Daphnia pulex: one gene and its partner. The protein of the gene in region 1 binds, or shares a complex with, the protein of each later gene. Links are inferred from orthologs where the notes say so. Each region holds a gene or a part of one and is shown in the gene's direction. Other genes may lie near its edges.

Region 1 (4,513 bases):
TTGTTCAATTTCCAGTCTTTTTTGGGTTCTAATTTAACTAGCTTGTAAGATACTTAAAATAAAGACACATAAGTAAAAAAATAAAATCGAATATTCAACCAATGGACACCACCAATAATGATTCATTTCAACGAAGTATTAACAGGTAAATAAACCAGTCGCACACTCTTACTATCGCTTGACGAAACTATGCAAGCAATAGTACAGACTGGGAAAATTGCTTACGGATTTCCGGCGCTGGCGCTCCAACCGGGCTTCTTTCTTTCTTTCACGGAAGTATCGCAGTCGTTCATATTCAGTACATTCCTCATGTCGAGTTAATCCATTCCTACGGTATTTGATTAGTTCTCGAATCCGCAATCGCAAAGCTCTCTCTTTAGTTAGATTGCGTAAGAATTGCTCATGCTCAGGTGCCGTGTGGAATTGGGAAAACGAACGAAATTTTTCTTGCGTTTCTCTGTACAAGGAAAAAAATGTAACTGTTTGTAATGAATCTATAGTTAACTAATTGAAACATGAATTACTTTTCCTTTTGGGACTCCCTTTTTTTTGCGGCAGTCGTAGGTTTTTCCTTCTCTTTCTTGATAGCGTTAAAAAATTGGGATACCAGTTGAAAATCCCGAGCAACCCGCTTCCTTCGGGCTCTTTCCCTCAGGCGGCGAGTATACATATCGACTTGAGCCAGTTTTAGAGCCAAATCAATATCCTCGTCGTCATGATTAATGGCAAGATGAGAAACAATTGCCTCAGCTTCATTGTCATGTTCCTACAAAAAATAAAAATAATGTTGAAGTTTTTAAGACAATTTGTTTCATGACAAATTAAGACCCACCCTTTCAAAATCATCTCTTTGAGGCATGTATCCAAGTTCTAATGTTTCTTCAGGTTGAATAGCTAAAGGTGGTAGTCGTGATGTGATGGATGGAGATAGAGGTGCATTATCTGGACAAGTGTGATCAATTGCTGCCAAGCGAGACTCTCCACTTGCGAGAAGTCCATTTGGAAGCCCTTGCCATGTTAGTTTACCTATTGTTCCTGTGACAAATCTATCACAGTACTGTTCTTTGCATTCTGTAAAAAAAACATAATTGGAGAGTAACTGATGATAAAATCCTGATAAAAATCAACAATTACTTTCTGAATCCCGTGTTTCTACATGTTTCGCAACATCTTCCCAATTTCCATAACCAAACTGTTCTATTGCATCAAGTAACTGATAGTCTTCCCTTGCAATCCAGCCACCTTCATCCTCCCTTTGTTGGTCAGGAAAAATACTAAAAGTACCAGGATCCTAGAAATTAAAAATAAAGTATTTATTGAGAGTTTGATAGAAAAACTTAAATACTCACTATTAATCTATATCCATGACTACTTTTATGTGGTCCAATTTCACAGCCAAGAGAGAAACACTAGAAAGAAACATTGCAAAACTGTGTTATTAAAATAATTCAAATTCGCCGCCGACCAACCGGCAATACCACTCCGGTGGGCGTCATAACAAACAACAAAGAAGGAAGGGGAGGGATTCATTCAACGAAGATTTTATACCACACCTGTAAACAAAGTTCGTAATCGACACAAACGTTACATCGGATTCGAATGCCAAGGATGTCGTCCTGACAGTAGCCACATCGATGCTTCATAAATAAATCTGAGGAATGGATACAGAAAGAAAGATTTTCAATTTTCGAAAATAAGGATTCAACGAGAGCATTTTTTTTTACCCGCCATCTTTAGCCTTCCCTTCCCATCAAGAACAACTAAGCTATGCCAACGCTAGCGAAAGCATTGGTCGCGCCCTCTGGTGACTGAGAAGTGAGAAGTCTTTAAAAAATAATTAAAATGACGTGTAAAATTTATAAACAATGTACACCGTACATTTTATTAAATTAAATTTTTTTTAATGTATAACGAGACGTGTTTGGTAAATAGAAATAATTCAACGTATTATATATCACCAATTGGCAACTAGTTCGTGTCGGCTTTTTCAGCTCCAATGCGGTAGTGGTCTGCAAAAAAAGTCACGCAAAATGGCTCTCAATCTGACTGTCAAGTTGCATCCTGTTGTATTATTTCAGATTATTGACTCTTATGAGCGTCGTAATCCTGATGCACAGAGAGTAATTGGAACGTTGCTTGGTAACATACAATTTAGATCATCCGTTTGCTTTCGCGTTTTATTGTTTTTTCGACTGTTGACACGTGTATCGGTATCGAGTACCTGACAAAATCTTTGGATTATATACCTAAATTCCTATAATATGCGAAATCGAAGTTGTGATAACTCATTTTTCATATTGATTTTTTCCAGGCACATCAGATAAAAATGGTGTGGAAGTGACCAATTGCTTTTGTGTGCCTCACAATGAATCAGAAGAAGAAGTGGCTGTGGAATTGGACTTTGCCAAGGATATGTATGACTTGCATCGTAAAGTTAATCCCCAAGAAAGCATTGTAGGTTGGTGGGCAACTGGTACTGGAGTCACATCTCACTCTGCTCTTATTCATGAGTACTACTCCAGAGAGTCCTCCAATCCTGTTCACATTACAGTGGACACCACATTGCAAGATACCCGTATGGGAATCAAAGCTTATGTCAGGTACATGCTATTAATTCAGTATGATACAATTGCTTTGAAAAATAATTATCTTTAAATTATCATCTAGTGTCCCAATGGGTATCACAGGCAAAACTATGGGATGCATGTTTGCTCCTGTTTCTGTTGAGATAGCATGCTATGACCCAGAAACTATTGGATGTAATTATAATAGAAAATGTGTATGTATACTGGGAATTAATCTTTGATTGTTTTTCAGTAAATGCCTGCCAGAAAACCAAAACCTCGGTTAAACGTCAAGCGGGCATCGCTTCGGATCTTACTCAGATTGTTGAAGCCTCGCAGCAGATGGAAAACATGCTGGACACTATCTTGGCTTATGTTGACGACGTAATGAGTGGCTCCAAAACGGCTGACAACACGTTTGGTCGTTCTCTATTAGATATGGTTCATTCGGTACCTAAAATGACACCCGACGAATTTGAAGAGATGCTTAATTCAAACCGAAAGGTAGAAAACATTACCCAATATTTACTTATTTAATCTAATTTTTGTAAAACTTTATTAATTTAGGATTTATTGATGGTATTATATCTATCACAACTTACCAAGACTCAACTGTCGCTGAACGAAAAACTCACATTGTTGACAATTTAATTCAGAACGTTGATATAAAAAATAAAAATGAACATCTCCCAATTAAATTACAATTTTCTGATGTAGTCCTCGTGAGCATATTTATTAGGAAACTATAGTATACAGTCACACGTACACAAGGGGGAAGAAAATTTCTTCGCTACCAAGGAAAAGAATCACACCCATCTTCTCTCAGAGAGCAAAAAAAATGATGATTAGGAAAAGCGAAAAACAGAATTTCAAGAAACGACCATCAGGAAGTTGGCCAGGTTTAGTAGCTATCGTTTACATGAGGAATGCTTAATTAAGCAGGCACATTGGTGGGTAAGATAGATTTATCCAGATCGGTAAACCAAGCATGATCTAAAGCATCCTGAGCCGTGATACGAAGGGCTGGATCGTAAATGAGAGTTTTTTGAAGCAGATCAAATCCAATCGAGTCAAGTTGCTTCACGGAATTTTGAAGGTGGTAAGTATTCCAATTAGGGAAAGTAGGTTTATAGTCGGGCATTTTTGAAACGCCTGGCCACATTTCCTCCGTGGGCGTCTTCATTACTCTGTGTTTCAAATAAAATAGGAACAAATGTAATTTTAAAAATAAAAAAAAAAGGACAAGTAACACTACCGGAAAATACGGTAAAGCTGATCAATTTCCGAATCTCCTTGGAACAATGGCTTTTTCGTTATCATTTCAGCCATAATACAGCCAACCGACCACACGTCTATGGGGCACGAATATCTTGATGACCCAAGCAATACTTCAGGAGCACGGTACCATAGAGTAACAACCTTCGTGAGTTCAAAAGAATTTATAGTATACGTCCATGCATTGGGAACCTTCTTTCCTTTACCTCGTGAGTGTAGACACGAACGGGAACTCCAAATACGCGCCCAAGACCGAAATCAGCTATCTTAATAATTCCGTTTTTATCGATGAGTAAGTTCTGGGGCTTCAAATCTCTATGCAAAACTCGACGTCTATGACAATATAAAATGCCTTCCAAAATCTAGAGGGAAAATATAAATCAGGCCAATATATAAATGAGTCCTAAATCTTCTAAGCAAACCTGGTGGCAATAAGACTTAACAAGAGTTTTATCCATCAACTGCCCAGTTGGAATGCTGTCCATGTACTTTTTAAGGTCCATTGACAGGAACTCAAAAATTAAATACAGCTTTCCTTCTTGCATCAAAACATCCTCCAGACAGACGATATTGGGATGTAGCAGCTCTTTCAAAAGTGATATCTCCCTGATGGCTGTCGAAGGAACACCATCATCTTCATTTTCAAGCCTGATTTTCTTCATGGCAACAAATTG
Region 2 (4,088 bases), on another chromosome or scaffold:
GGTGTGAAAAGGATGCAGTATAGGATTGACAAGCCAAACATGGCACCACTTCCCACTTGAATGAATAAGGCTAAGCAGCCCAAAACATTTAGAAGATACATGAGGGTGTGCACTGAAAATAAAGAAACAAAACAAAATCAATAAAAGTTTCTGATAACAAAAATAAACTTAAACAAGAAATCTATGATATGTTTAACTTACGCATCCAAATATAGTATAACATGCGGACAATTTTTTGAAATTCAAGTGGGATTTCCACATTGATGTCTTGATAGAAGCATGGTTGGACACAAAACTTGTCAGGCAGTGGTGGCCAATTATTGCGCTGAGCTGTAATGAAGAAGTAAATAACAGAAATTAAAAAGTAAAGTTTCATTTAAATTTGTTCTCTCCTACAGTTGAATGGTACATTATTCTTTAATTCTTCTTCTCGCCTCTGCAATTCTTGAGCTTTCTTCTCTAGTTCTTCTTGACGTCTCTATAAAACCATGCAATATAATGAATAAAGATTTCCTTCTTTCTTTTTAAGTTTTAATACTTGAAAATCCGCATTTGACATAGCTGCTTGTTGTTGTGGTCCTGGAGATATCACTGGGGCAGCTTGAATTGTTGGGGGTGGATTGGCTCCACCAACACGGTCCTTAAATTTTGTAACAAATCAAACACACTTCCCACTTTCATGATAAAATTATGTTTTACCATTGAAACTCTGGTAGTTTGATTACTACCATCAAAAGGGTTGTATTCTTCAAGACCTTGCTGAGCTCTCGCAGCATTGTTTCCTGCAGCTTGCTGGACAGATGGATCCTATTGTGAAAGTAAACAACCACTTTACCACTAAACTAATAAACAAGGTGATTTTTCAAAAGGTTTTCTTTCATATTGTATGCGGCGAGTACTCCATGAATCACCAGTTTTCAACCAAGGTATTAGTATGGTAATAGTAAGTATAATATACATATTATAAATAATCTACCGCAAACGGGTTGAAAACAGCCGGTTCTGCAAAAGGATTCTGATCAAATCCAGACATTATCAAATATTTCTTTTTTTAACTTCGGTCACTTTGTTACTCCAATTTGCGGTAACTTTTGTTTCGACGGTCACCGTGAAACGTCAACTCAACTAATACAGACAGAAACTCCTATCAATTGCTAAATAACAGGTAATGTCAGAGAAAAGCAGTTCGGAAACAGGCAAACACTAGCGCCTCTGGAAGACAGAAACACTAGACTAAGCAACGCTGGGATTAACGAGATATCTCAGGTAAAAAAAATTAAATAATTCATAATAAAAGGTTTGCAATAAAGTTTCAAAATTTAATTATTGTTAGGTTTCTATATTTAATATTTTGTAATGCACATATTAACATTATTAGAAAAGTGAAAGCATTTGGCAACTGCCATGGACACTAGTGTGTTCACGATTTTTCGTTGAAGATGGAGGCCGAGGCGGATTGGGGTGATTTTATTTAATTATTTCTATATTAAGTTATTCAATTCCACCTGTTTTTTGTATGAAATTCTCAATAGTGCATATCAAAGTTCCATTTAATCGTATACTCTAATCAAATACGATTTTGTGGTGATTATAGATGCCGAAGATTTTGAACCCTCTGTCCCTGTTCCAGTTACGACTGCCATAATTTCAGATAAATGGGAAGGTGAGGATGAAGATGAACCTGTCAAGGTGAGTTGTAATTCAATTGTGATGATATTAGTAGTAAGTATATCTACAAATTTGGTAGAACCTTGTAGCGCTTGTAGTGAAAAAAAGTTCTCTCAGTACCTTTCTATTTCTGCTCCAATTCTTACAACTTTCACTTGACTACCATGTGTCTTCTTTTGCCAAAAAATTCTTATTGCTCAATGAGTTTTACATAAAGTTGTGATTGATTTCAAAATTATCATTTTTTCTTGTTTATAAATGATAGGATAGCTGGGAAGATGAAGAAACAGAAAATAAGCCTGCTGAAGTCAAAGCAGCAGCCACAGTAAGTACATGTGATCTCTCGTAAAAGTATCCAAAAAATTTAAAATGTGTTTGTTACTTTCAGGCTACCAAAAAAAAGTCAAGTAAAAGATTAGAAGAAAAAATAGCCGAAAAAGAAAAGAAAAGCAGAGAAGAAGCTGAAGCCAGAAAAATATTGCAGGAAGCAAACATGACACCTGAAGAGAGAATAGCAGAAAAGCTTCGGAGACAAAAACTAGTTGAAGAATCAGATTTTGAAATGGCCAAGGAAACCTTTGGTAAGTTGTCTTAGGAAACTGTATTGCTGACCTGCACTAAGCATGATTTGTTTTATATTTTGTTCTCAATGTTATTTTTATTTTCCAGGAATTACTGGTAGTTTGCCTACAGAGGGAAGCATAGATGAAGCAAACCCTTCATCTAAAGAGGAATTCTCAGAATTCAAGAACAACTTGGTGAAAAAACTTCAGTCATTGTCAACTAAAGCGTGCTATAATGATTTTATAGAGGACTTCATTAAAGATGTTTGCATTGGATGTAAGTCACATTTTCTAATGTTGGTTGCTAAAAACTTTTCTACATCCCAGTTTTTCAACATAGTGGAAGTCGAAGTCCTTAGAAAAGTTAGTCTAACTACCAAATCCTTGCACGAAGAAAAACTCAAGATGGTGAAGGCGGCGACAAAAGGTGGAAAGAAAGGAAAAACAAAAGTTGCTTTAAAAATGGACAAAGGAATGGTCGACAACTTCGGTGATGATTTCGGAGGAGGAGACTATGACGACTTCATGTAGGGTCCAATTGTTTTTCTTTTGTTTTTGGCGGGAAAAGGTTTATTGGTAAAATAAATGTATGATTTTGCCATTTTGCTCTTGTCAGTTTTTTCAGTGTTTTAAGATATATTGAGATTGAATTTCTGTTAAAAGTTAAAACCTCCCTCTTAATTATTCTAATTCAATATATAGAGTTAAGTTGCATATTTTCTTAGACGTTCCAGTTTTCTACTTTTAGCGTCAAAAAAGGAGATGGTGACAGTTGTAAAGTTAGATGTAGTTAGATGTATTTGTCCCATTGAATGCTACACACTGTCAAAAGTAAGCAAATAACTTTCAATATTTATTTTTTTAAATTTGAGTTTTGAGTACCCCGCAAATTTGTATACTGGTGAATCCTTATTTGATACCCAGTGGGCGTAAGAGAGGGGATTAGGGGGGTTTTGTTTTTAAAATGTAATGGAAATCGTTGCCGTGGCAGCCGGCTGCATGCCTAATCAATAAATGAAGCACGTGCGTTTCCTGCTGAGTAGCAGACTAGTAGTGGCATAAAAGTGGTTGTTTGGTCGATACTTCTAACTCGTTATATGGCGTTTCACTGTGAGAAAGTTCGTTAATGAATTTCTGGAGTGATAGAGCACAAGTTGAGCAAGAAAATGGAACTAAAAGAAGTTAACGGAGCAGAGTTTTTGCCTTTAGCAAACGCAAGAAACCGACTGCTTCAACAAAATGTAAGCAACAAGTTTTCCCGTATTTTAAATCCAGAATTGATTTCAATTAAATCGTATATCAATGTACACAGGTCCGAGACAAGCGAAATAAACTCGCTCAGCTACTAATGGAACTCGATCAAAATGAAAATGTTGTTAAAACTGCCGAACAAGATCTCACGACGCTTGAACAAAGCACACAACAAACACATGTAAGTAGAGATCTGCTCATGATGGCCATGGTTCACGGTCCAACAACTTTCATATTGCTAAACAGATTTTTCCTGCTTGTTTTGTGTTCAAAGTTTGTATCATTAAATGTTGTTCTGTTGTCTGAAAATGCGTCAGAAGATGACATGACGTAAAAGCAATTTCTGCATAGACAAGTCTCACTTAATCACCTCGTTATTAACGAGGCAATTAACCATGGATATCATATTTATACTTCATGCAGGGCTGATTGATTTGATGAAGAAAGCATGGATTTTAACTTTTAATTAATAAATTAAATTTTTAAATCAAAGGTTCTGGCAAAAAATATTCGCAATCAAGTACGCCAGGAACGGGAAGCGCTAAATTTGGCGAGCACCGAAACCGGAACCATAGAGCAAGAAACTAAACGGATCAACCAAAAATT

What was found. Proteins that work in one complex are often made in the same cells at the same time.
Region 2: eukaryotic translation initiation factor 3 subunit F-like (region 1) and eukaryotic translation initiation factor 3 subunit J-like share a complex: the UniProt entries of both Drosophila melanogaster proteins name them as parts of the eukaryotic translation initiation factor 3 (eIF-3) complex. The link is inferred for Daphnia pulex from reciprocal best matches to the Drosophila melanogaster genes eIF3f1 and eIF3j.

The regions. Positions count from the first base shown.
Region 1 is NC_060026.1:11,479,554-11,484,066, reverse strand, and holds eukaryotic translation initiation factor 3 subunit F-like, read left to right. Parts: upstream 1-1,978; 5' UTR 1,979-2,030; coding exon 2,031-2,139; intron 2,140-2,311; coding exon 2,312-2,600; intron 2,601-2,667; coding exon 2,668-2,759; intron 2,760-2,817; coding exon 2,818-3,068; intron 3,069-3,131; coding exon 3,132-3,215; 3' UTR 3,216-3,262; downstream 3,263-4,513. Other genes in the region: transcriptional adapter 2-beta-like, read right to left, coding at 226-457, 525-766, 833-1,071, 1,135-1,291, 1,350-1,409, 1,554-1,651, 1,725-1,731; cyclin-dependent kinase 1-like, read right to left, coding at 3,499-3,751, 3,820-3,983, 4,046-4,201, 4,262-4,513. UniProt on the Drosophila melanogaster protein: Component of the eukaryotic translation initiation factor 3 (eIF-3) complex, which is involved in protein synthesis of a specialized repertoire of mRNAs and, together with other initiation factors, stimulates binding of mRNA and methionyl-tRNAi to the 40S ribosome.
Region 2 is NC_060019.1:7,842,639-7,846,726, reverse strand, and holds eukaryotic translation initiation factor 3 subunit J-like, read left to right. Parts: upstream 1-1,374; 5' UTR 1,375-1,439; coding exon 1,440-1,461; intron 1,462-1,594; coding exon 1,595-1,689; intron 1,690-1,933; coding exon 1,934-1,993; intron 1,994-2,056; coding exon 2,057-2,249; intron 2,250-2,337; coding exon 2,338-2,508; intron 2,509-2,571; coding exon 2,572-2,762; 3' UTR 2,763-2,836; downstream 2,837-4,088. Other genes in the region: secretory carrier-associated membrane protein 2-like, read right to left, coding at 1-112, 202-330, 397-478, 539-640, 700-807, 977-1,033; coiled-coil domain-containing protein 39-like, read left to right, coding at 3,398-3,472, 3,544-3,663, 3,976-4,088. UniProt on the Drosophila melanogaster protein: Component of the eukaryotic translation initiation factor 3 (eIF-3) complex, which is involved in protein synthesis of a specialized repertoire of mRNAs and, together with other initiation factors, stimulates binding of mRNA and methionyl-tRNAi to the 40S ribosome.